Linked DNA regions of Cricetulus griseus. The protein of the gene in region 2 purifies or fractionates together with the protein of the main gene of each other region. This does not show direct contact. Links are inferred from orthologs where the notes say so. Each region holds a gene or a part of one and is shown on either strand. Other genes may lie near its edges.

The links.
Region 1: the proteins of Ppp2cb (region 2) and Sike1 purify together in Homo sapiens (affinity purification with mass spectrometry; 3 studies listed by BioGRID and IntAct, counting the BioPlex papers as one, with this or other methods). This does not show direct contact. The link is inferred for Cricetulus griseus from reciprocal best matches to the Homo sapiens genes PPP2CB and SIKE1.
Region 3: the proteins of Ppp2cb (region 2) and Ccdc6 purify together in Homo sapiens (affinity purification with mass spectrometry; 3 studies listed by BioGRID and IntAct, counting the BioPlex papers as one, with this or other methods). This does not show direct contact. The link is inferred for Cricetulus griseus from reciprocal best matches to the Homo sapiens genes PPP2CB and CCDC6.
Region 4: the proteins of Ppp2cb (region 2) and Cct6a purify together in Homo sapiens (affinity purification with mass spectrometry; 4 studies listed by BioGRID and IntAct, with this or other methods). This does not show direct contact. The link is inferred for Cricetulus griseus from reciprocal best matches to the Homo sapiens genes PPP2CB and CCT6A.
Region 5: the proteins of Ppp2cb (region 2) and Strn3 purify together in Homo sapiens (affinity purification with mass spectrometry; 5 studies listed by BioGRID and IntAct, counting the BioPlex papers as one, with this or other methods). This does not show direct contact. The link is inferred for Cricetulus griseus from reciprocal best matches to the Homo sapiens genes PPP2CB and STRN3.

The regions. Positions count from the first base shown.
Region 1 is NW_023276806.1:53,970,845-53,975,971, forward strand, and holds the end of Sike1 (suppressor of IKBKE 1), read right to left. Parts: intron 4,792-5,127; coding exon 4,678-4,791; intron 2,052-4,677; coding exon 1,950-2,051; 3' UTR 1,490-1,949; downstream 1-1,489.
Region 2 is NW_023276807.1:51,171,031-51,175,416, forward strand, and holds the end of Ppp2cb (serine/threonine-protein phosphatase 2A catalytic subunit beta isoform), read right to left. Parts: intron 3,564-4,386; coding exon 3,445-3,563; intron 1,770-3,444; coding exon 1,697-1,769; 3' UTR 1,186-1,696; downstream 1-1,185.
Region 3 is NW_023276806.1:267,513,390-267,518,239, reverse strand, and holds part of Ccdc6 (coiled-coil domain-containing protein 6), read left to right. Parts: intron 1-1,873; coding exon 1,874-2,034; intron 2,035-4,850.
Region 4 is NC_048597.1:109,117,174-109,122,023, forward strand, and holds part of Cct6a (T-complex protein 1 subunit zeta), read left to right. Parts: intron 1-108; coding exon 109-205; intron 206-1,511; coding exon 1,512-1,659; intron 1,660-1,705; exon of another isoform or gene 1,706-1,838; intron 1,839-2,130; coding exon 2,131-2,264; intron 2,265-3,021; coding exon 3,022-3,124; intron 3,125-3,967; coding exon 3,968-4,040; intron 4,041-4,130; coding exon 4,131-4,203; 3' UTR 4,204-4,850. UniProt on the Homo sapiens protein: Component of the chaperonin-containing T-complex (TRiC), a molecular chaperone complex that assists the folding of actin, tubulin and other proteins upon ATP hydrolysis.
Region 5 is NC_048598.1:150,652,494-150,657,343, forward strand, and holds part of Strn3 (striatin-3), read left to right. Parts: intron 1-1,126; coding exon 1,127-1,260; intron 1,261-2,799; coding exon 2,800-2,975; intron 2,976-3,136; coding exon 3,137-3,184; intron 3,185-3,464; coding exon 3,465-3,586; intron 3,587-4,850. UniProt on the Homo sapiens protein: Calmodulin-binding scaffolding protein which is the center of the striatin-interacting phosphatase and kinase (STRIPAK) complexes.

The DNA.
Region 1 (5,127 bases), on a different chromosome or scaffold from region 2:
ATTGCTATATATGTGAAAAAGACCCTCTACATTTTTTGTTTGTTTTTTTAAGACAAGGTTTCTCTGTGTAGCCTTGGCTGTCCTGGAACTCCCTCTGTAGACCAGGCTGGCCTCAAACTCACAGATATCCTGTTTCTGCTTCCTGAGTGCTAGGATTAAAAGCATGTGCCACCACTGCCCAGCTCCTCTACACTTAATTAGACACATTATTCAGTAAAATTAGCAAATCTTCCCGAGAAGTTTTTATTAGCAAATATAATTTCAAACTAAAATTTCATACACTAAATTCTTCTATCCACTGCAAGAGACATTAACATCTTCACACAAAGTGAAGAACTTCCTTCTCCATTCAATATGCTAGCTCTCTATTACCTTCAAAGCATTAACACCAGGCAGAATTTATATGGCACAGGGCACTGAAAGCTCAGTATATCCCCAGGACTAAAAGGAAGATATTCTGGTGGCTAAGATGTAAAGAGGAACGTAAGGCAGATAAAGTGTACTGTGTACACTGCTGAAACAGACTATCTGCTAACACTACCATATTCACTGAAACCTGACTGCCAGCTGACAAGTGGCAGAGGACACCTGCTCCTGATGGGCTTGTGGAGTACACTTTGGGCACTTAGGGGATCTTTCAAGGCAAACAGCTGGAGCTGTCCACTACTCTAATTAAAGTCCATAGGTATTAATGGGATCAGATGGACTCAGAACATTCTGGATAGATTTTGTTGTTTTAGCTGGAATTAGTTCTTAGGACCATAACAAAGAATCTTTACAACACATAAAACACTAGATTCTTTTTCTTTTAAGACAATCTTTCTCATGTGGTATGGTGCTTAGTATCAGCAAATATTGATAGCATTAAGATTTCTTCAGCCATTTTGGGTAAACAAATAGTGTAAAAGGAATTATTTATAAATTTGAGTAAACCAAGACAGGGAAGGCTGGCAAGGGAATTAGTAGATCCTCCCTGCACCCGAATCTCAGTACTGTTCTCAATTGCCTGCATGGCATCAGGAACATAGTAACTTTCTGTGGGCGATAAAAAATGCTTCCGTGTAAAAACCAACCAGATCTAAGACAGCTCACTGCCGGTGATAAGCCATCCAAGCAGTGCCATTTGTCACCATCATAGCTATGTTTCAACTATGACGCGTGGAAATCTGATATGTTCTTCATAGTTGGCAAACCACCTAAGCTGAAGATTCCCTAGTCAAACAAAATGGAAAACTGACTACTTGATCATATAAATAAAAGCTACTGTTGGCATTTAAATCAAGTGCTCAGAATTCTCTGAATGACTAAATGATCCTTGGGAGGAGGAGGAGAAACAACCCAAACCTAGGTGACTTGTTTTCAAGTATATTTCCTGGGGACTACTAATAGATTCTCTCAAATTAAGAGTAAAGACACCTGACCACGAAGGGCCAACTCCTAGCACCAGAGCGAATCCAAACTCCACAGGTGAATGATGATGCAACTCAGAGAGTCTCACAATTTGCTTCTGTGGATCATGTTACTTTTAAAGTGGAAAAAAAAATATTCAGGTTTACACCAAACATGTACTTTTTAAAAGTTTGATCTCTTAAAAATTCTTAGAAGTCAATTTTATAATCCTATATAAAATAAAATCACTGGTTTATAATAAAATGTTTAGGGTTTCAGAGATATGAAAAACAAAAATAACTGAAAACAGTTTATATAAATTCAGGTCCCAGAGTCAAACTAAACGGAATTTCTGACAAAGGAATGGTGAGACGCCTCTATTTTACTAATAAAACCCAAATTGTTTGTGGATAATGAACAGCAATTCCGAATTGCTAGCTCATCCCTCTGATCAACACTGAATCAAGTCTGCAGCAGGACACTTGAATGGACACATCTTAGGGAGAGACAGTCACTCCTCTCCTTGTCGGGCCATCTGCAGCCAGCATTCAGAAGTTCAGTTATTTGATGGGCTGGGAAGCGGGATCCACAGAATTTTCCTTTCCAACCTGAAGAGACTCACTGCTGATGGACAGTAATTCTCGAAGCTCCTTATTTTCAAGCTGGGGAAAAAAGATATTTCCTGTATTTTAACTGTTAAACAGTGTCAGAACATATTGTTTGGGGCCAGAAAGAAGAAAAATAATTTTAAAGTTTTAAATGATTAAAAAACATTTTTGAGACAGTCTCACTAAGTAGACTTTGCTGGCCTAGAATTCGATATGTAGATCAGGCTGGCCTTAAACTCACAGCTATCTGCGTGTCTCTGCCTCCTGAGTACTGAGATTAGAGGCGTGCACCACCACACCTGGACCTTAAATGTTTTTCTTCTTAGATTTACTTGATTATTGTATGTGTATTGAGTGTTTTGTCTACATGTATGCCTGTGCACCATGTGAATGCCTGGTACCCTAGAAGGTCAGAAGAGGACACTGGATGCCCTGGGTCTAGAGTTACATAAGTTGTGTTACCGCCATTTGGGGGCTCAGAATTGAACCCAGGGCCTCTGTATGAGCAATAGGTGCTCTAACAACTGAGCCATCTCTCTAGTTCACAATTCCACTACTACTTTTGGCACTTGACACCTGTCACTTCCTTTGATTTCTATCTAGATAGGGCACCTTACACTCCATCTTTATCATCTCTGTAGAAAATTCTCTTCTCTCTATTTTGGGATATGATCTGATGTAGTGGAGGTTGACTTGGAACTCCTGATCCTTCTGTTCCTACCTCCTAAGTGCTGGGATTACAAGTGTGTGCTCTTTACAGGACATATTGATAACTGCAGAGTTTCTAGCTTCACCAAAAGGTTGAACAGTATGATCAACAAATCCTCCACCATATAAACTGCTTCTTTTAGTACTCAACTCATTTTGACTTATGTGTTATGTGTGTTTTGCCTGTACCTATTTATGTGCGCCATCTGAGTGGACATCAGATCTCTGGAACTAGAGTTATAGATTCTTTTTTTTTTTTTTTTTTTTTGGTTTTCGAGACAGGGTTTCTCTGTGGCTTTGGAGGCTGTCCTGGAACTAGCTCTTGTAGACCAGGCTGGTCTCCAACTCACAGAGATCCACCTGCCTCTGCCTCCCGAGTGCTGGGATTAAAGGCGTGCGCCACCACTGCCCAGCTAAGGAACTTCTTCAAGTTCCCACGGCAGCACTTGAAATAAGCAGTCAAACCTTCAAATCTTCTACTGAAATGTATTCTCTTCATATTTTTTTACATTCAGACACATAAAATAACATTTAAAAACAACATGGTTTATTCATATTATTTATGTGTGTTTGAATGCATATATGTGTCTCTGTTTGTGCATGCATTACATACATGCTTGGTATCCTTGTGGGTCAGGAAAGGGAGTCAGATCCCCTGGAATTAGTGAGGGATTATTGTGAGTGGCCATGTAGGTGTTGGAAACCAAACCCAGGTCCTCCCAAGGGCAGAAAGTGCTCTTAATTGCAGAGCCATCTCTCCAGACCCTAGTATGTTTTTTTGAGACAGGGTCTTATACAGCAGAGGCTGTCTTCAAACTCACTAAGTATCCCAGACTGGCCTCAAAACTCTCGATCCTCCTGTCACTAACTCTTTAGCTCTGTGACATAAGTGTATGCTACAATACCTAGTTTATAAAGTGCTAGGGATCCAAGCCAGGGCCTCATGACTGCAAAGTAAGTACTTTATTATTAACTGAGCTACACCCCAGCTTCATTTCTACATCTTTTTTTTATGATATACTAGTTATTTTCTTAAAAGACCTCTTCATTTTGTGTGTGAGTGTTTTGTCTACATGTACACCTGTGTACTACTTGCTGTGCCAGCAGTTACAGACAGTTATGAGCTGGGATGCTGGGAATTGAACCTAAGTCCTCTAGCCAGTGATCTTAATCACTGAGCCATCTTTCCAACCTCCACTTTTTTTTTTTTTTTTTTTTTTTTGAGACAGGGTTTCTTGGTCTAGCCCTGACTATCCTGGATCTCACTCTGTAGACCAGGGTGGCCTTGAACTCAGAGATCTGCCTGCCTCTGCCTTCTGAGTGCTGGGATAAAAGGTGTATAATACCACTACCCAGCTTCCATACTGCCGCTTCTTGACCATTAAGTTTAGATATTATGTATCTGACTTCCTATTTTGGCACATGAAGGATTTCAGGTTACATATGACCTGTTCTTCTCTCTCTGCTTTTTAAATATATATTATTAACAATATATATTAAATATATGATATGGTATTATACACACACTCACACACACCCCTTCTATCTCCCAAAAGCTGGGGTTACAGCTATACACCATCATACTCAGTATATCTGAGGTACTGGTTACCGAACCCAGGGCTTATGCTACACAAGCATTTTACCAACTGAGCTCTGTCCTTTCAGCCCCACAATTCCACTGATTGATGTTGATTGCATTGTTTCTATGAAAAGGGTATAATGGAGAAATTTTAATTTTAAACGATTAGGACAGAGAGAACATCAATACTGCTAGTACTAATTGCTAACATAACACTACTAAGACAACATGGGAGGATGATGCAAAACAATTTTGAGTTTTAGGCCAGTCCAGGCCACATTCTGAGACAACACCCTCCCTCATACACTGCACTGATAGTATAGTGATGACATATTCTGAGATCCTATAAAAACTGCTAAAAATAAGGGTGAACTTAAACAGCAACCACCTTACCTCTAGTTGAGCTAGTTTTTCCTGAATCTTGCAAAACTGATTATCATCCACCTGAACTGCTTTTCTCATCACTTCTCCCATTTCACAGATTCTGTCAATCTGACTTTCAATCTCCTGTGAAAGTAAGATAAAAAAAATAGTTTTTAGTTATTAAGACCATGAAAAGCATATGCATTATGAATTTTAAGTCTATTAAAAGCCTTGCAGAAATAAACTGGGAGGGGTTCATTTAGTACATACTATAGAAGTTACACTTCAATTACACTATCTTTTGAGCCACAATAATTTAAATCTGTGGTACGTCAAATAATTTCCATTTTTCTAAAGACCATTTGACACCCAGGTGCCAGGTGTGGTGGCACATACCCATAATCCTCGTCCTTGGGAGGCTGAGGAGAAAGGATTAGGAGTTAAGGATTAGTCCAAGCCAGCCTGGACTAAATGGGACCT
Region 2 (4,386 bases):
AAAAAGATGTAGTAAGACAGACACCTGATATCAGGTCTCAGCCAGGCTTGGTGAAACATGCTTCCTGGAATTTTTGAGTCAGACCATCTTAAAACAAACCAATTCTCACCTTATATAAGAACTGTGATTTCTGCTTCTTGAATCCACCTTACCACAGTATTTTACAACTCAAAATCTTTAAGTAGGAATGTTGATACCACTGTATTTCTAAAAAGTTAAAAGACTTTAAAGAAATTTCAGAGTGGACTAATCCTATGTACTTTTGACTTAAATCTGGGAACAAAGTTTTTGAAACATGATCTTTGGGGAGCATATTGAAACTACAGTAAGCAAGTACATTTGGGGTGTGAGCTGTTGTTTTTTTGTATGTACTGATACCCTTAGAGTCTGTCTTAAGATATCTTTATCTTTTTTTGTTTTTGGAGATAGGATTTCTCTGTGTAACAGCCCTGGCTGTCCTGGAACTCTCTCTCCCAGTACTTGGGAGGCAGAGGCAGGTGGGTCTCTGTGAATTTGAGGCCAGCCTGATCTACAGAGCAAGTTCCAGGACAGCCAAGGCTATAGACAAACGCTGTCTCAACCCTCCCCACTCCTACCCAAAAGAATAAGTTAATACAGACCACCCAATGAAATGTTTAGGAATGTGAAAATGGATTTTTTAATGGCCTAAAGTTATCAGCAAATACTTGACTTTGTTCTGCTTCTAAATGTAAACTATAAACAAGCATTACTTGTGTGTGTGTGCACTTGCATGTGTGCATGTAACTTGGAAATGAATATAAATGAGCACCTTACCAGAGTTAATCCCCAGCCCCTAAGCTTACCATGTAAATCCTGTCAGTACAGCTGCTTATTTTTATTACACATCAGATAATTGTGGTTCAGCAAGGTGTCCTACACCTGTAATCCTAGCACTTGGGAGGTAGAGCCAGGGGAACCCAGGAGTTTAAGGTCATTTGGGACTATACATGACCATCTTAAAATCCAAAGTAAATGGAAAACAAATAACCACAGTCTTAAGTATTTGTATCAAGTTTTAAAATGGTGATGCTTCCACTTAATGCATATCACAGCTAAAATATTTTTGTTTAAATTGGAAAGTTTATTTGTTCAGTACACCAAATAGGATGCAAGCACTGTCATGACAAATATACAGAAATAATGCAGATCAACATCAAACAGTAATTTAGTTTAAATGAAAGGAAATCTCTTTAATGTTATGACAACATACTCCCAAGAATCTCTTCTTCAGTTAGTTACACATTTCAATAAAATACAGGGTAATGAATTAAGTGGAAGTCAGGTTGTGAAATCTTAAAAATAAAACTCCGACTCTATTAATCCATGCCAGTTAAACACTGTAACTAAATTTCCAAGTGCAAAGGAGATGAAGCAGTCAGTGACCCCTTTTTGCTTAACCAGCCAAGAAGAATGGTTCCTACAACACAGCAGGCAGACTGATCTAGAACACAGTGTAGTAAGTTCAGTCTCAAATTGTGCTAAACGCTCATCATTAGTATGGCACGTTTGGTCCATGATGTAGTTTAATGTCAAGACATATCACAATTTGTTACAGAAACACACAGATGACTTGTTTTTAAATATATATATATATATAACACACACATATATATATATATATATATTAAAAAGCCAGGTATACTTCCACATACAAAGAAAGGTCCTGGGGAAGAATTTACAGGAAGTAGTCTGGGGTACGCCGGGTCACATGAGGCTCTCCACGACGAGGTGCTGGGTCAAACTGAAGACTATAAATGACAAAGAAATTGAATCAGCAGCTAAGCCACTAAGACACTCACTAGACAAAGCCATCCTTTCTGTATTCTTCTGCTACTACATTCCATGTGGCTGGAATAACTCTGAGCATGTCACTACCTGTGATAAATTATATTACTTCACAGAGTTATGGTGAAAAGTTAGGTAACATGGTTGTTAGTGCCTGGCAGAAAATACTTGTGACACTATTATCAATTTAAGGGCCTTTGGGTCAGTGCTGTCTCTCACCACCACCTGGCTAAATCAGGGTGAGTATTTGTCTACAGGCACAGCAAGTTTCCTTCTGTGTAGCTTACTGATTTTATTTAAAGCACACTGAATTTTATCAAGTGCCTTTTTTGTCTGTTATCTGTTTCTTTTTTTTTTTTGGGGGGGGGTTCATTTTGTGGGGTATGCTAGGTAAGCAGGGGCCAGTGGAGCCACATCCCCCAGTAGTACATGTTTTATTACTTTAAGCTTCTTCTAAAATTTTGTGCTATGATTGCCAGTGATCAAAGATGTCAGAAGAGCCAGGCGGTGGTGGCGCACCCCTTTAATCCCAGCACTTGGGAGGCAGAGGCAGGCGGATCTCTGTGAGTTCGAGACCAGCCTGGTCTACAAGAGCTAATTCCAGGGCAGCCTCCAAAGCCACAGAGAAACCCTGTCTCGAAAAACCAATAACTAACTAAATAACTAACTAACTAACTAAATAGATGTCAGAAGATGGAACCCTTGGAATTACAGATGGTTGTGAACAGCCATGTAGGTGCTGGGAATTTAACTTGCATCACTCCTGTACCCTAAGTAGTCTCTTTTTTTCTTCCCCCCAAAAAGATTTATTTATTATGTATACTGTGTTCTGTCTGCATACCAGAAGAGGGCACCAGATCTCATTACAGATGGCTGTGAGCCACCATGTGGTTGCTGGGAATTGAACTCAGCTAGTGTTCTTAACCACTGAACAATCTCTCCAGCTCCACTATAGTTGTTTTTGTTAGAATAATGTGTGAGTAAGGGATGCAAGCCTCTAGTAGTTATAATGGACAGGTTTCTCTGTCTTGTTAGTTTGTTTTTCTGAGACAAGGTATCTGTATGTACTCCCTGGCTGTCCTGGAACTCACTGCTTAGACCAGACTGGTCTCAACCTCTGCCTCCTGAGTGCTGGGATTAAGTATGTGTACTACTGCACCTGGCTTATGGTTCTCTTAAGGTTAAATGTTTTTCCATTACCTATAAGCTCTTGGGAAAATTTCAATGAACTGTAAATAATTAAAACCCTTTTCTGGGCTGTATAGCTCAGTGGCATAGCAATGAACTGGCATGTATGAATGAGGCCATGGTTGCATGCCCAGCATATCAAAAGAAAACAATTTTTACGATGAACAGAACTCTTTCACGGTTTTCATTCCAAGAAGATTAATTTTATTCATGCGTGCACGTGTGTATATGACTCTGTGCACACATGTACATGTATCTTTAGAGGCCAGAAGAGGGTGTTGGATCCCTTGGAGCTGGAGTTACAGGTCTTTGTGGGATCTGAACTTCAGTTCTCATGACTGTAGTAAGGGCTCAGAGCTGCTGAGCCATCTTTCCAGCCCCTAACTGTTTTTTACCAGTTACCTTTTCCCTCTAAAGTGATTACATAAATTAAAATGTACAGTTACTTACAAAGAATATTTTAAAGTGTCATCTAATTCCATGATAGCAGCCTGGTTCCCACAGCGGTAGCAGTAATTGGGTGCACTAAAAATGGTAACCACATTCCGATCATGGCACCAATTATATCCCTGCAACAGTAAGAAAAGGTCATTGTTTCATCATTAAATTCAATCTTGACACAGAACTCAAATCCTAAGTACTTCTGTGGCTACGGAATCATGTTATCTCCTGTGATCAACAGTTTCTGTACCTGCTCAGAATACTGGACAATTATTAGGTACAAGAGTCTATAGATCTCAGTAACCACTGAGATCTTAGCTTAAGGTATACACTGAACTTTTCAGACAAAGATGGTAATCTCATTTTTCCTCATAAACTCTGCCAAGCACTTTATTTATTTGCTTACTTACCGTGTATGCGTGCCTTTTTTTTGTTGTTGTTGTTCTTTTCTTTTGAGAAAGAATTTTGCCATTTGGTCACAGTATTCTCAAATTTATAATTGCCCTAGGGTCCCAAGTGCCGAGACATGATAGAAAGTGCCTGCCTTCCAAAGTTTGCTACAGAAATCTTGAAGCTAGTATTGGGCAAACAGCAACTTGGGTAAGCTTTCATGGGAGAGCTGAGCCAATGCTCATCAGTAATGGCCTGGATAATCTAATGGTCACCCGCACCAGACTCCTCACTCACGTCAAGGGCTATGTTTGGTAATTATCTACTTGATTCACAACATACCATTTCCATTCTTTAATTTGTGATATTTTAAGTATGTTTTAGTTTTATCTCATAATAACTGAAATTTGATAATCTTCTAATTTCAAAGTCTCTGACTTTTAGGAAAGTAAGTCTTTGTCATTATATTTAAAATGTATCCAGTCATCATTGACATTTATGATTATATAATTATAATGAGGTTTAATGGCACTACAATGCTGTGTTCATAATCATGCTCCT
Region 3 (4,850 bases), on a different chromosome or scaffold from region 2:
CATGTGAATTGCTTGGGTGACACAGACCATCCTAACTTGTTAAGGGAAATATATGTTGATCTCTCTTATGGTTGTCTCTGCTCTATGCGTGGCTCTTCTCTCTCAAGTTCGGGATTCTTTTTATTTGTTGATACAAGGCCAAGTCAGAGTCATCCACGGTGCCACAGTTCACCTGTTAGTGTGCATCGCTAAGATTTACTTAGTTGGGGGATTTTCATAGAAAAATGGCTATCCGTTTGCTTTTAAACCCACTGTAAATAAATACCTGTGGATATTTAATACTTGTGTGTTCAGTGTACATACACAGATATAAAATGTCACCCAACACCAACAACAGACATTTCCTAAATTACCTTGTTGCAGATTGCCTTCGTCCTCGTTTTTGGTCACTCTGTACTTGGGGGTTGGAAGGGACAAGGCTTCTGGGAATGGCAGGAAGATCCTGTCTCGGAGCTTTGTATGGGATAAAGGCGAGTTTCCTTTTAAGTTGATTATTAGTTCCCTGCCCCAGAATCCTGTGTTTGTCTCTGAGAAGCCTGTGCCATTCTGTTCCACACTGTTCTGAGTTCATATGTAGAATTACAAACAGCCAACCACAGAGCTTAAGAAAAGTGAAGATTTGAAATATATGTTAGGAAAAATCCTCCAGCCATAACCACTCAGCACTATGGTAGCAGTTCTAATACATTGAATCTTGAAGTTATTTTGTGATTGCGACCACATTTACCTATTAATTTTCTCAACTAGGGTAGAACTGCAGGTAAGTCCGTTTACAGTTGTGTCAAATTGAGAGGTAAACAATTCAATATAAAGCAAACCCCAGGAGCCCCCAGCAGCTTATAAAAGGTGGTTAAAGAGGGTTGCAGTTAGCCTGCCTTTTTGGAATGCAGTTAGAGGCTTTATGTACATATAATTGTATTGTTATTGAACTTAGCTGTAGGAAGTGGTCATTTTGTAGGTAAAATGCTGTTGAGCCTTTTCTGAGTTTTATCTGATAATGATAATTGGTAGGGAAGTGGGCACACCAGCCATTAACCAAATAATTCTGACTTGGTTTGGGTGTTTTTTTTTAACATTTTATTGTTGGCCCCAGTTTTCCAAACCTTCCACCCAAGTTTTACTTGGGAGGAGCTCTAGTGGCTATTAAGTAACTTCATCCTCCGGGGCAATTCATAGCAGTTCCTAAATTTCACCCAGAGCATCAAGAGGGGAGAATTTCTTTATTCCCTCCATCCTCCGCAGCCAGCTTGCTAACCATACAGTCAGCTAGGTTTGCTGGACTCTGGGCATAGTAACCAGAAACGTGTTCAACAGACTTCACAGTTATGATTGACTGCCAGGGTCACTCAAAGAGCAGAAGGAACAGGGATGATGGCTCCGTGGTGTCGTATTTGCTGCACAAAGCCTGAGGACCGGCCTGAGTTGAGATTCCCAGTACCCACATAAAGCTGGATACACTAGCCCATGCGTGTAATCCCAGTGTGCTCCTAAAGTGAGATGGGAGGTGGAGACAGGAGAATTCCCAGAAGCCTGGGGCCAGTTTACCTTGCTTAGCAGCAGAGAAGAAGAGACCTCGTTGCAGAGGGGAGAGGCGAGGACCCATACCTAAGAATGTCCTCTCACTTCCATGTGCGGGTACCCCAGGTACACCTGTGCTAACACCTGAACACACAATAAACACAACAGAAATGAGATCTTGCCAGTCTTCCTGTTTGACCAGTGATAATTGGTCAGGATGGACAGAGAGGTGTCAGTCTGTCCAATGGGCGATTTTCAGGCCGGCTCTCGGCTCAAATGCTGAATAGTGTTCTACCGCAAACTGTTATTCATTGTTTCTTTTTTTTTTTTTTTTTCCTTTTTCTTTTCCGTGAAGAATCCTACAGGAGAAACTAGATCAGCCCGTGTCTGCCCCACCATCACCTAGAGACATCTCCATGGAGATCGACTCTCCTGAGAACATGATGAGGCATATCAGGTTTTTAAAGAACGAAGTGGAGCGGCTGAAGAAGCAGCTGCGGGCTGCCCAGTTACAGCGTACGTGGCTCCCAACCCCCCGAGTTCCTGTCTGCTGAATCAGTGCGGGTACCAAGCCCACAGCCGTCCCTGTGCTTACTAGTGAACTCGTGGCGGCAGCCGTATCCATGGTGTACTTTATTAGCAGTGCGCAGACATTTGTACACGTGTTAGCTGTCTTTCTGGGATATAGTTTTAAAAAGAAAGCGATCACGGGGGGGGGGGGGTTGGCGGCAATAATTTAGAATACTTTCAGAAGATAAATTCTGATAATCTCAAGAGGGGGGTCACTGAGGTAGCAGGATCCCGGATATCTTCCTTCCTTCCTTGCCGAGATAAAATTCTCTGACTTAAGGGAGAATGTGCTCATTTGGCATGTGGGTTACAGCTCACGGTGACATGGGAAGTCACAGAGGAACCGGTCACATCATACCCATGGTTGGAAATGGAGAACGGTTGATAAATGCATACACGTGCTTGGCTACCTTCCTATTTAAATATGTATATATACATATGTATATATATTATGACTTCTTTGGGAATTCCGTGTCAAGTGTTTTGATTATAGTCACCATTTGCTCCTCCCCCTAGCTCCTCCCTCGCCCCCCAGCTTTGTGTCTGCATTTTATTTAACTCCCCGAACCCACTCATGCTGTCTAGGTACCCAAGTGGGGAGCCATCCATTGCAGCAGAGTCAGCCTGCTGGGTCCTGACTCCGACCTAGACCTCAAGAACACTGCCTGGGAACAGAGTCACTCACTATGCATGGCCTCCCACATCGATGGGTATAATTAAAATAATCCCTCCGTACCATGTTCTGAGTCCCCTTTCCATGTGGTTCTGTTACTGAACTTGGCTGGGGGAGCGGGTCACAACCTGTAACCCCAAATCAGGTCTGGCTACTTGTCCTCAGTGAGGCGATAAAAAGGCCAAATTCATAGTGGAAAGCAGAAAAGGAAGATTTAGTCACTGGCCACATTGGGGAAGGGGACAAAGAGCCAGCTAGACCCCTCAAGTCTGTTTTCCAGGTCCTACGGTGAGATAGAAGTTTACATAAGGGACCAAGGATTTGCACATGTAAGCAGCTCTGGTCAAAGCATGGTCCCACCCCTGGTGGATGTACCTTTGGGTTTGAGTCTCATCTTGTACTGTACCAAATCTCTTCCAAGGAGATAGGTTCCCCTCTGGCTGTCTCCCTCTCCTTCTCCCAGTGTGAGATTCCTGGGGGAAATTTCAATGTCTTTGGTGCCCACTGTTTCAGTAGTCTGATAGAGTAAAAGACAAAAGTGTTTTAGAGTGTTTGCATTTCTGCCTGTTAAAGTTCTAGACGGTATCAAATTGACAATTAAAACTACCAGGCCAGGTGACCTTTGTAGTCTGTTTGATGTGCTAATGAATCTGCACAGGGGCTCTCTGCACTTCTGCTCTGTGAAGGGAGGACTGTGGAGGGTGTTTGCCTTCCTTACTGCTGAATCTAACCTCAGCTGACATTTGCGCATGGTATTTGCAGAATAAATGCTTTTGAAATTTAGGCTTAATATTTTGAAAAAGGCCAAGTTGTGGAGTTGGAAGTCAGGGTCCTGGGTTTCTGAACTTGTCTGGGTCTCTCTGCATTTTTAGGGCTCTGCCCTCCTCCTGCAAATGTTTGGTTGCAGACATCTCTTCCATGAGGTAAAATAGTGGGAGAAGGGCTTCCCTTTCCCTGTTACTGCCAGGTGAGCAGTCTGCACAGGCCCATAACTAGTGTTCTCCCAGATGTGTGCGCGCATACAAAATTGCTTCATACCAAGAATTAGACAGTAATCAGGACACTCTGCATCTTTCTCTTTGAAAACACTTCTGTTTTTTCAGGACAGGGTTTCTCTGTGTAGTTCTGACTGTCCTGGAACTTGCTCGGTAGGCAACTCAGAGATCCACCTGCCTCTGCCTCCCTAGTGCGTGCTGGAGTAAAGGTGTGCACCACCACTGCTAGGCAAAAACACTTTTAAAAACAGCCAGTCTTGCACTTCTTCTCCCAGATACCTACCCAGCTGCTTTGGACCCTCGTTAAAGCCTGACAAAGGATCCCCTTTCAGAATATGGTTATTACATTTATTTATTTAATGTGTGTGTGTGTGTGTGTGTGTGTGTGTGTGTGCGCGCGCGCGTGCGTGCATGCATGGCCTGGTGCTCATGTGTTGGTTTCAGAACAACTTGTGGGAGTAAGTTCTCTCCTTTCACCATGTGGGTTGAGGGATCCGGCTCAGGTCAGCCGACTTGGTGGCAAGTGTGCCTCTTATCTGAAGGACCATCTCCCCAGCCCCAAATGACCCTGGTTTATTGTTTTCCTCCAGCTGCAGTGAGCATGCTTGTGTACACATCTCCCTATGCACAGGCACCTTGGGCAGATCCCAGGCAGACCGGTCCACTCAGTAGAAGGCACGTTGATCATCTCACTGGCTGCTACCTTACTTCTCCCCTGAAGTGTTTTACACGTTAGAGGTTCAGTGTTCCGTCTTGGATGGTATATCAAGACCGTGGAGTCTTTCAGAAGTACGGCGTGTTCTCTCTTGTTGCTGCAACAAGCCTAGGCACAGTGGTTGGAAAGGGCACAGATAGACTCTGTTGTAGCTCTGGAGGCCAGAGGTCTGACATGTGGGGCTTCCAAGGCTATATAGTAAGTAGCACTGTGTGCCTCTGGAGGTGTCTGTAGAATCCTAGACACCCCTCTTGTTTTGTGCCACTTCGGGCTCCATCCATGCCTCCACTGTGGTTCCCCCTTGTGGGGATGTCACTCCCATGTCCTCTCCCTGTTCAGGTCTCCTTTTCACTCAGACTAACCCTTGTGATTATCTTAG
Region 4 (4,850 bases), on a different chromosome or scaffold from region 2:
CACTTTGATCATGTCATTCTGAAAATCTCCTTCCTAAAGATTGTTGTCTTAATTGAGTATAACCAACATGGCTTACTAAAATTTCACATAATTGCTTCACTGTTACAGGCTGACACTTGCTTGTGGCGGTATAGCTCTGAATTCCTTAGATGACCTGAATCCTGACTGTTTGGGGCATGCAGGTCTTGTCTATGAGTATACATTGGTAAGTGTTTTCTCCTAAAGACAATAGTATTTTCTTTATCAGTGGTTGAGCAGAAAATTTCAAACTCAAAATCAGATTTTATTTTATTTCATTTATTTATTTTTTGGTTTTATGAGACAGGGTTTCTCTGGCTTTGGAGGTTGTCCTGGAACTAGTTCCGGTTTTTTTTTTTTTTTTTTTTTTTTTGGAACAAGTTCTTGTAGACCAGGCTGGTCTTGAACTCACAGAGATCCGCCTGCCTCTGCCTTCTGAATGCTGGGACTAAAGGCTTGTGCCACCAATGCCCTGCTCCTAAACAAGTTTTTGTTTGATTTTTTTTTGAGGCAGGGTTTCTCTGTAGCAGTTCTAGCTATTCTGGGAATCTTTGTCAGCAAAGCTGACCTCAAACTTAGAGGTCCACCTGCCTGTTCCTCCTGAGTGTTGGGATTAAAAGGGTATGCACCACCACCTCCCAGCTTTTCTTAATTTTATGTATTTATTTATTCAATTTGGTTTTTCGAGACAGGGTTTCTCTGTGTAGCTTTGGAGCCTATCCTGGCAGTCGCTCTGGAGACCAGGCTGGCTTGAACTTACAGATCCGCCTGCCTCTACCTTCCGAGTGCTGGGATTAAAGGCGTGCTCCATAAACGCCCGACTAATTTTATGTATTTATTTGAGACAGAGTAATACTATGTTGCCTGGGCTGGCATAGAACTCACTGTATGGCTTTCTGGTTTCTCAAAACAGGGTTTCCTGGCCAGCCTGGTCTACAGAGTGAGTTCCAGGGCAGGCTCCAAAGCTACACAGAGAAACTCTGTCTTGAGAAACAAAAACGAAAAAAGACAGTTTCCCTATGTAACCTTGGCTGTCCCGGAACTTGCTCTGTAGACTAGGCTGGCCTTAACTCAGACATCCTCCTGTCTCGGTCTCTCTAGTATTGGGATTAAAGGCAAATGTCAGCACCACCTTTCTGGATAGGGCTCTTTCACTAAATTTATTCCAGGTTGCTTGTGTGAGGGTTATTTACCACACCCCGGCAATTTGCTAGTGGTTACACCATCTTTAAAAAATTACTTCTCATGCATCTTGGTGGTTTATATGTAATATGAGTTGACTTTAAATTTTTAATTTCTCTTGTGCCTGATTATCCTCCCTTTCAAAAAACCTTGCGGTTTTTTGTTGTTTTAAGATAAGGTTTTACTATACATCCTTGGGTGTGTAAGAACTCATAGAGACCTGTCTGCCTCTGTCTTTCAAGTTCTGGGGTTAAAGGCATGCATCACCGTGCCCCAAGGGTAACTTTTAACAATAATTTCTCTTCTTCCAGGGCGAAGAGAAGTTCACCTTTATTGAGAAATGTAACAATCCCCGTTCTGTCACATTACTGGTTAAAGGACCAAACAAGCACACACTGACTCAAATCAAAGATGCAATAAGAGATGGCTTGAGGGCCGTCAAAAATGCTATCGATGATGGTAAGCAGCATGCTGTGCTTGACTTGTGCTCTTTTTAGTCTTAAAGGCATGGCTGAATACTGTGTTCTTTAGTCAATAATTTACACAGCCAGACACCATGCAAAAGTAAAGTCTTCCTTTAAAATGATTGGTATGCTGTTTTTTTTAATAGTATATCATTATTAAAAGTAAGTACAAATAAATTATTAAAGCTGGTGGCTCTTGAGCTACCAATTAGAATGTTTTGCTCTTGGTTGTGGTTGCTCATATTGTGACTCAAGAGGCAGGTCTGTGCTGGGGTGTTACTGTTGGTAAGGCACCTACTTAGCATATGAGGATAGATGTACCCACATGTCTATCACCCAGTACTGCAAGAATATATAAATGCATATAACTAAATAATATTGTTCTGAAATAATTTTATTCTGTATTTGCTGGGTTGGGTTTTGTTTTGTTTTGTTTCTCTATGACTTCTCCTTCCCTTGTCCACAGGCTGTGTTGTCCCAGGCGCTGGTGCAATAGAAGTGGCAATGGCAGAAGCTCTGATTAAATACAAGCCCAGCGTGAAAGGCAGGGCTCAGCTGGGAGTCCAGGCATTTGCAGATGCCTTGCTCATTATTCCCAAGGTTTGAATATTTACCTTAGTTTTCCTTGCTGACAACCTTTGGGATGCAGTCATTTGTTTATGCTAGTTTCCTGAACTATGCCAAGCTAGGCAGGGTGCCACATGCCTTTAATCCTAGCACCTGTGAGGCAGAGGCAGGCTGGTCTTGGCCAGCTGTGTACATAACATTTCAGGCCAGCCAGCAGTGTTTGTAGCAAGAGATAGTCTGCCTCAGACCTGGGTGGGTAGAATTTAGAACACCCACCCTACCACACCTGGGGTAGGCAAGCTCTAAGTGTCCACAGCTGTACAGAGGAGAATGGAAAAAAGAAAGCCAGCATGGAGGTTGGTCACAAAGTGAAGACTAGCAGCCATATAGCAAGGCAAGAGACAAAGTGGACAGATCAGAACTGCATGGCAGCAGCCCAGTAGGCCATTGCTTGCATGGGTTGTTGAAGGATGAGCTTCTTTTTACTTGAGCAAAACTAATGGCCTTGTCATCATGAGCTACTCAGTAAAGGTGAGGGCTTATGACCAGTACTGGGGGAGTGGGGGTGTCTATTCTCTGGAGAGAACATGAATAATGAATGGTTCTATCTCAGTGCATGCAAACCACTGTCCTGTTTGTTTATTTATTTGGGGCAAGAAGGGGTGTGCTATAGCACATAAGGAGGTCAGAAGCCTGCTTTCAGGGAACTTATTTTTAATTGGAAATACTGTAAGTTTATTTAACATTCAGTTTTCAGTTTGTTTCTTCAAGAATTAAATTTGTTTGCTAGGTTCTTGCACAGAACTCTGGTTTTGACCTTCAGGAAACATTAGTTAAAGTTCAAGCTGAACATTCAGAATCGGGTCAACTTGTCGGTGTGGACTTGAACACAGGTGAGATTGTACTTCTTTGTGGGGGTAGACTAGATTAGATGCAGGAAAACTGGGGAAAGTGAAAATGCCTGGGGGATCTTGCTGTGCCTCCCTGGTTTGGAATCAGTCCTGCCCTTCTAAGTTGATGTTACCCATAACTGTACCAACTAGATATGGAGACTGGGGCATGGGATGGATATTTTAAATGGTGGAGTAAAGCTAGTGGCATGATCGTAACCCTGCTTTTTAGCCCCTATAACACAAATGTACAATATAAAGCAGAAGGCCTACTGTCCATACTCACTAACTTAATTGAAGAGATTGCTGGAATGAGGGAAGTCAACAGGAATGAGTCCATAGCAGAGGGGGGTCTAAATGCTTGCTCAGCAGCTAGTGCTTTGTCATAAAGAGATATGAACCACATGGCCAAGATTCTGGAAAGGAGTGGTGAATAGTCAGTGATAACCAGTACTGTTGCTTCATATTTTAAAGATTTGAAGTTGTCTTTGACTACATAGCAAAATCCTGTCTAAGATAGTCCAAATTGGTCCTTGTTTTCTGTTCTAGAATTGGTGGGGTTTGTTCATAAATAGGATGATTTCTTGAAAAAGGTAAAGGTATTCGATTGGGGCTAGAGAAAGATAGTTAAGAGCAATAGTTGCTTTTCCAGAGGACCTGGGTTCCAGTACTAGCACCCACATGGCAGCTCACAACTGGTGTTACTTCAGTTCCAGGGGCTCTGATACCCTCAGGCATGCGTGCAGTTAAAAGACCAATGCATGTGAAATAAAAATCACTTTTTAAATTAAAAAGAAAGGGGCATCTGATAATTTGTGGTTTCAAGGTGTGGTATTTATTTTTCAGGTGAGCCAATGGTGGCAGCAGAGATGGGTGTGTGGGATAACTACTGTGTCAAGAAGCAGCTGCTTCACTCCTGGTGAGTTTGGAAACTTGAGCCAGCTGTTATTGTTTAGTTGGGCAGGTTGAAATCATGTTAGTGTCTGAGCTGTCTTCTTTTTCCTTCCAGTACTGTGATCGCCACCAACATTCTCCTGGTTGATGAGATCATGAGAGCGGGGATGTCCTCTCTGAAAGGCTGAGGAAGTCCCTTGTCACTGCATCTGTAATAATACAGAATGGTGTGGGAAAATGGTCATTTTTGTCCAAGTGATTTGGAAAAGAATTTCCTCTTTCCGGTTGAAGAAAAGGAACAAGACATTTGGCACCTATTCAAATTACAATACTGTAAAAAAAAAAATTTTCATTCACTGAGTGTATGCATATGCTCAAAAAGTGGGCCCTTTTTAACCCACTGAAAAACATGTTTTAACTACATTGACACAAAAATTACATATTAAGATGAGTGTGTTGTCTACCTTGTTCCTTAAATGTTCTTCAAAAAAATTGTAATGGTTTTTTTTTAACAGCATGGTGGTGCTTGCCTCTAAGCCTAGCACTTTGGAAAAGAGGTTCAGAAGTTCTGCTCCAACTCAGGATACAGGAGACACCCCCCCCCCCACTCAAAAGAATCATTTTCCCCCTCGTGGTTGTATTTTAAATTAGCCAACTAACTCCCTGTTAAACATGTAAGATTCTTGCCAGTGCAGAACACATCTGGGTAATTTATGGTTTTCATAGTGTCTAATAAATACTTAAAAGTATTGATCGTTCACACTTTGAAATAACTGGGGCTGGAGAGATGTCTCAGAGGTGTAGAGCACTGACTGCTCTTCCAGAAGTCCTGAGT
Region 5 (4,850 bases), on a different chromosome or scaffold from region 2:
ACCACTTGAGTCAAATTACACAATAAAATGAAGAAAAATTCTAAATTAAAAATGAATTTACTTTGGTAATAGTATATATGAATTGTATGAATTAATTTTAGTATTAGTAAATTAGTATTAGTATATTTCATTATACCTGTTTCCTGTAGTGTATTAAATATATACCATTTTGTAAGTGTTTTTATAATAGTCTTGAGTTTTTTTAATAATTTTTATTAATTGGTTCATGATTTTAAATATTTAGTTATTTTGTAAGTAGTGTTTCCTTCTTGCCATCTTAATGTTACTATTTTGATTGCAAAGCACATGCTTAAAATTATATTGAATTGCTGCTTACACTTTTAACTCTCTTGTTATAGTCATTCAAATGATTGCACTTTAATTTGCATTGCAGTATCACTGTAGAAAGTTGTAATAATACACAAGGCACAGATGAGACGACTAAGGAAAGTGAAACTTCCCTTTCAGTTTTTATTGATATTGAAGTACCCATTCTGATCTGAAATCTAAAGTTCTGCCGTTAATGTATATTACTTGTTTCTTACTTTAGCAACATTATAATATACAAAAAGAGGGCATTAAAATGAAGCCATAGGGAATGTTTTAAGGTTGGAAGGCAATCCCTTTAGGACACTGACATTATTAGGAGAGCCATCTTTTCCTGGACCATCTCTGGCACTAACTGATAGGCTTGTATATCAGAGTGTTTGTAGTAACTTACTGACTTAAAAAAACAAAACAAAACAAAACTGCTGTATGAGCTATTCTGAGGTTGATAGACATCTGTTTCCCATAAGTGGCTGATAACCTGATTATTTAATCAAAAACTGTCCTGTTAAAATTGACCGAGATGGTAAGGGATCTAAATAGACAAGATCTTTGTGTTCTGCTTCCATCCTGGGATAATTATATGGTGTTTATTCAGTCTGTGGAAGATTTCTACGTTGTAGTTTCAGGACATTGGTTTATTTCTATTCAGTAGTAGGACTTTTTTTGTGTGTGGAAGTGGGAAGTAGAATTCATAATATTGCTGAATTTTGTAACTGTTTCGTGCTTAAATTCCCCACAATATTGTATTGTACTGTATGATTTTTCAGCATTTAAGAAGCGGTTTTGTTCTTTATAGCTGAACCAATAACGTTTCCATCTGGAGGAGGCAAGTCATTTATTATGGGTTCTGATGATGTTTTGTTAAGTGTACTGGGCCTTGGAGACCTTGCAGACTTGACGGTAACAAATGATGCAGACTATAGTTATGATGTAAGTGCAGTTTTATTTTTAATTTTTTAATGATTTAATAGAAGGCTCCTTATTCTTTGGAATCATTTATAACAGTGAATTAATGTCAAGGTGCATGGAAAACATGTTTAAGTGTGTTGATGTGTTGATTTGAAATAACATGTAATTTTGCTTTAAGTTTTTTTCCTTTGTGGTGTATAAATCTTTCTTAGGAATTTTGGTGGATTAGGTAAGAGTTTGGGGTTATTACCTTAAAATATTGGTTGTTAACTACATCTTGAGTAATTAACTCTTACTAAGTTAAAGCCATATTTTAGTGTTAACAAAATAAATACTATCGAAATCAGGTTTTTGCCATCATGAAAAGTCTTAAAAGCCATGTTTTGTTTTTGAGCTCTTATTTTGTCAATCACAACAAAGTTAGCTTGTATCATTTCCTAAATGTTTAGCTTCACTTGAGGGCTAGAAGAAGGAGATAGGAAGAACTGTGTTAGTATTAGACAGGTGTTGATATTTTCCAAGCATAAACACTCGATTAGAGTTAACTATATTTTAGATTTTTTTGCATTCACTTTAGTTTTTCAGCAAATTTCTTCCTTTTTTTAAAAAATTTCTTTTTTAACATTAAAAGAAATTTAGACTTAATTTAGGATGTTTTTTGTAACGATATTTGCCTTGGTGGGCTGGGCTATTGTTACTAATAATTTTTAAAGCATATTTACAACTAAATTGAGTAAACTTTTAACTGCTTTAGAATTGGATTAACAGCTTGTCTTTACTGATACAGAAGTAAAGGTGAAAAGATTGAGCTTTATTATTATGAAGGATTAGGAAAAAGTGCTTGCTCAAAGCCCTGGGCTTGATCCCTAGCACCACATAATCTTGGGCAGCGTAGCTCATTCCTGTAGTCCTAGTATCTGGGAGACAGGGCCAGAAGGATTGGAAGTTAAGGTTAATTACATATGAGCTCAAGGGCAACATGAAACTCTGTCTTTCAAGGAAATTAAAAAAAAAAAAAAAGAAAGATGTAGGAAAATATTCTTAAGGAGTTTTTAGTTCATTGTTTTAAAAGTCCCTTAACTGTCTGCCTTGGAATTGTTCATATACTGGTCAGTTTCCTAAATGGAAACTATTGTGTTTACTGTAACCTTGAGTATTTGGTAATGTTTATATTCTGTTTTGGTTTTGTGTAAACTATTACAGCAGTGACAGTTTTCTGTTCTCATCTATCTCATCTGACATTTGATAGGAGTTTTGGATTTATTTTTTATTTTATTTATTTATTTATTTATTTTGATGATTAGGTGAAAACAGATGATAAAGGAACTCTTCTACCTGGATATTTGAAAGTCTTACAAAATTATTTTTCTGAATTCTTATATTCTGAATTCTTACATAAAGATAGACTTGCTATGGAGTTTTTAAGGTCATTAAAACAGCTTCTGGATATTTTAGTGGAACAGTTTTATATGTTTTAAACACACCAAAAAGAAAACAGAAAGTCCACATGCCTGCCAGTTCGTTACTTTTACCTGTAAATAGTGCACTTTTTCATTTTAGTTGCCGGCCAATAAAGATGCCTTTCGAAAGACTTGGAACCCCAAGTATACACTACGTAGTCATTTTGATGGAGTGAGAGCATTAGCTTTTCATCCTGTAGAACCTGTGCTGGTTACTGCCTCTGAGGACCACACCCTGAAACTTTGGAATTTGCAAAAGACAGTTCCTGCCAAAAAGCAAGTATTTCAATATTGATTGTTTTTTCTTCTTTTAATTTTGTTCATATGGATAATTATTATTCTTTACTATTCCTGTGTTTTAGTATGTCTGTATTGTCAGCCAGTGATTCACAATGATTTACTGTGTTCTCTTCCCCCATCCCTTTTTTCCCTTTTAGGAGTGCCTCTTTAGATGTAGAACCTATCTATACATTTAGGGCCCACATGTAAGTTGGTTTTTTTTTTTTTTTTTTTTGGTTTATTTTTTGAAATAGTACTTAATGAGCAACTATAATCTCCAAACCTAATTTCCCCAATATTTGGTGTTAAAGGAGATATATTAGTTTAATAATGCCTTGTTTGATTAATTATATTTGAATATGATCAAATAGTACTTTTCAGTTGTACATTTTTACCTAAAACCTCATAAATGATTAGATTGAGGGATGTGGGGTTTGAGTTTCTTCTTAGAATTTATAAGTAATTTTTCCTCTCTTTCTATAATAGTGGCCCTGTTCTTTCATTAGCTATTAGTTCTAATGGAGAACAGTGTTTTAGTGGTGGTATTGATGCAACCATTCAGTGGTGGAATATGCCTAGTCCTAACGTGGATCCCTATGATACATATGGTAAGTAAAGGGGCACAATGGATCTTTTCAGTGAATAGACCTGACAGAATTCTGTAGTTCAGATGTTATTACAAAGTTGTTCAAACATATAATTTGTTCATTTAATTCTACTTGCTAGAAAGTTTCTTTATTTAAAAAGACAAATATTATGGCTTGAGAGATGGCTCAGGGGTCAAGAGCATTGGCTGCTCTTCCAGAAGACCCAGTTCAGTTCCCAGTATCCACAATGGCACAACTGTCTGTAACTCCAGTTCCCAGGGTATCTAACACCTTCACACAGACATACATGCAGACAAAGCACCAATGCAAATAAATAAATAAATAAATAAATAGGGTTTTTTTGGGGGGGGGGGAAGACAGGGTTTCTCTGTGTAGCTTTGGAGCCTGTCCTAGTACTCACTCTGTAGACCAGGTTGGCCTCGAACTCACAGAGATCCGCCTGCCTCTGCCTCTCAAGTGCTGGAATTAAAGGTGTGCGCCACCAATGCCTGGCTAAATAAATAGTTTTTTAAAAGAGAGAAATATGCCACGAGTATTTTAGTGCTTGAATTAGTACTTTATTATGTTTAAAGCATATTTCTTAAATGCTAATTTCAGTTAACAGAAGGAAGAGGGGAAAATTATTGAAGTAACACATTTTTAAACTCAAGAGACAGTATTATAATTCTTATGTTAAGTGAAAGATATCAAACAATATAGATAGGATGGTCAGTGTATAATTCATTACAATTTCATGCAGGGCCAAAAATTCCTTAATTCAAAATGAAAAGTAAAACAAAAGTTTGATTTTTACAAATGGCACTTTGAGAAACTTATTCTTGATTAAAAATTTGAGTTAACATGTTCAAATACATTAAGTGAGCATTGTTAATGATTATTTAAAAACAAGAAAAGAAACCAAATGTTTGAGCGCTTCGTTGTTTTTGGCTAACATATACTTGGTGTTCACATTCCATAATGTAAGGCATAATAGTGAGTACTGTGTTCAAAGAAATAAGGTGAATGTGAAAAAAGCAAGGGGCTAAATGACAATAAAATGTAGTACTCTGTATAAGAGTAATCGGTGGAACCTCTTAGATGAGAATCAGGAATGGTCTGTCTGTCTTTAATAATGATGTTGAAGCTAAAAAAGCTAAAGGATAAAATAGAAAAAGTGTTAAGACCAAAGAGGGTTGAAAGGAATTGATGGCAGCTGCAGTGACAGGTAAAATTCAGGAGTTATCTAAGAAAGAGAGTTGACATTGCTGAGATTAGAATTATGAAG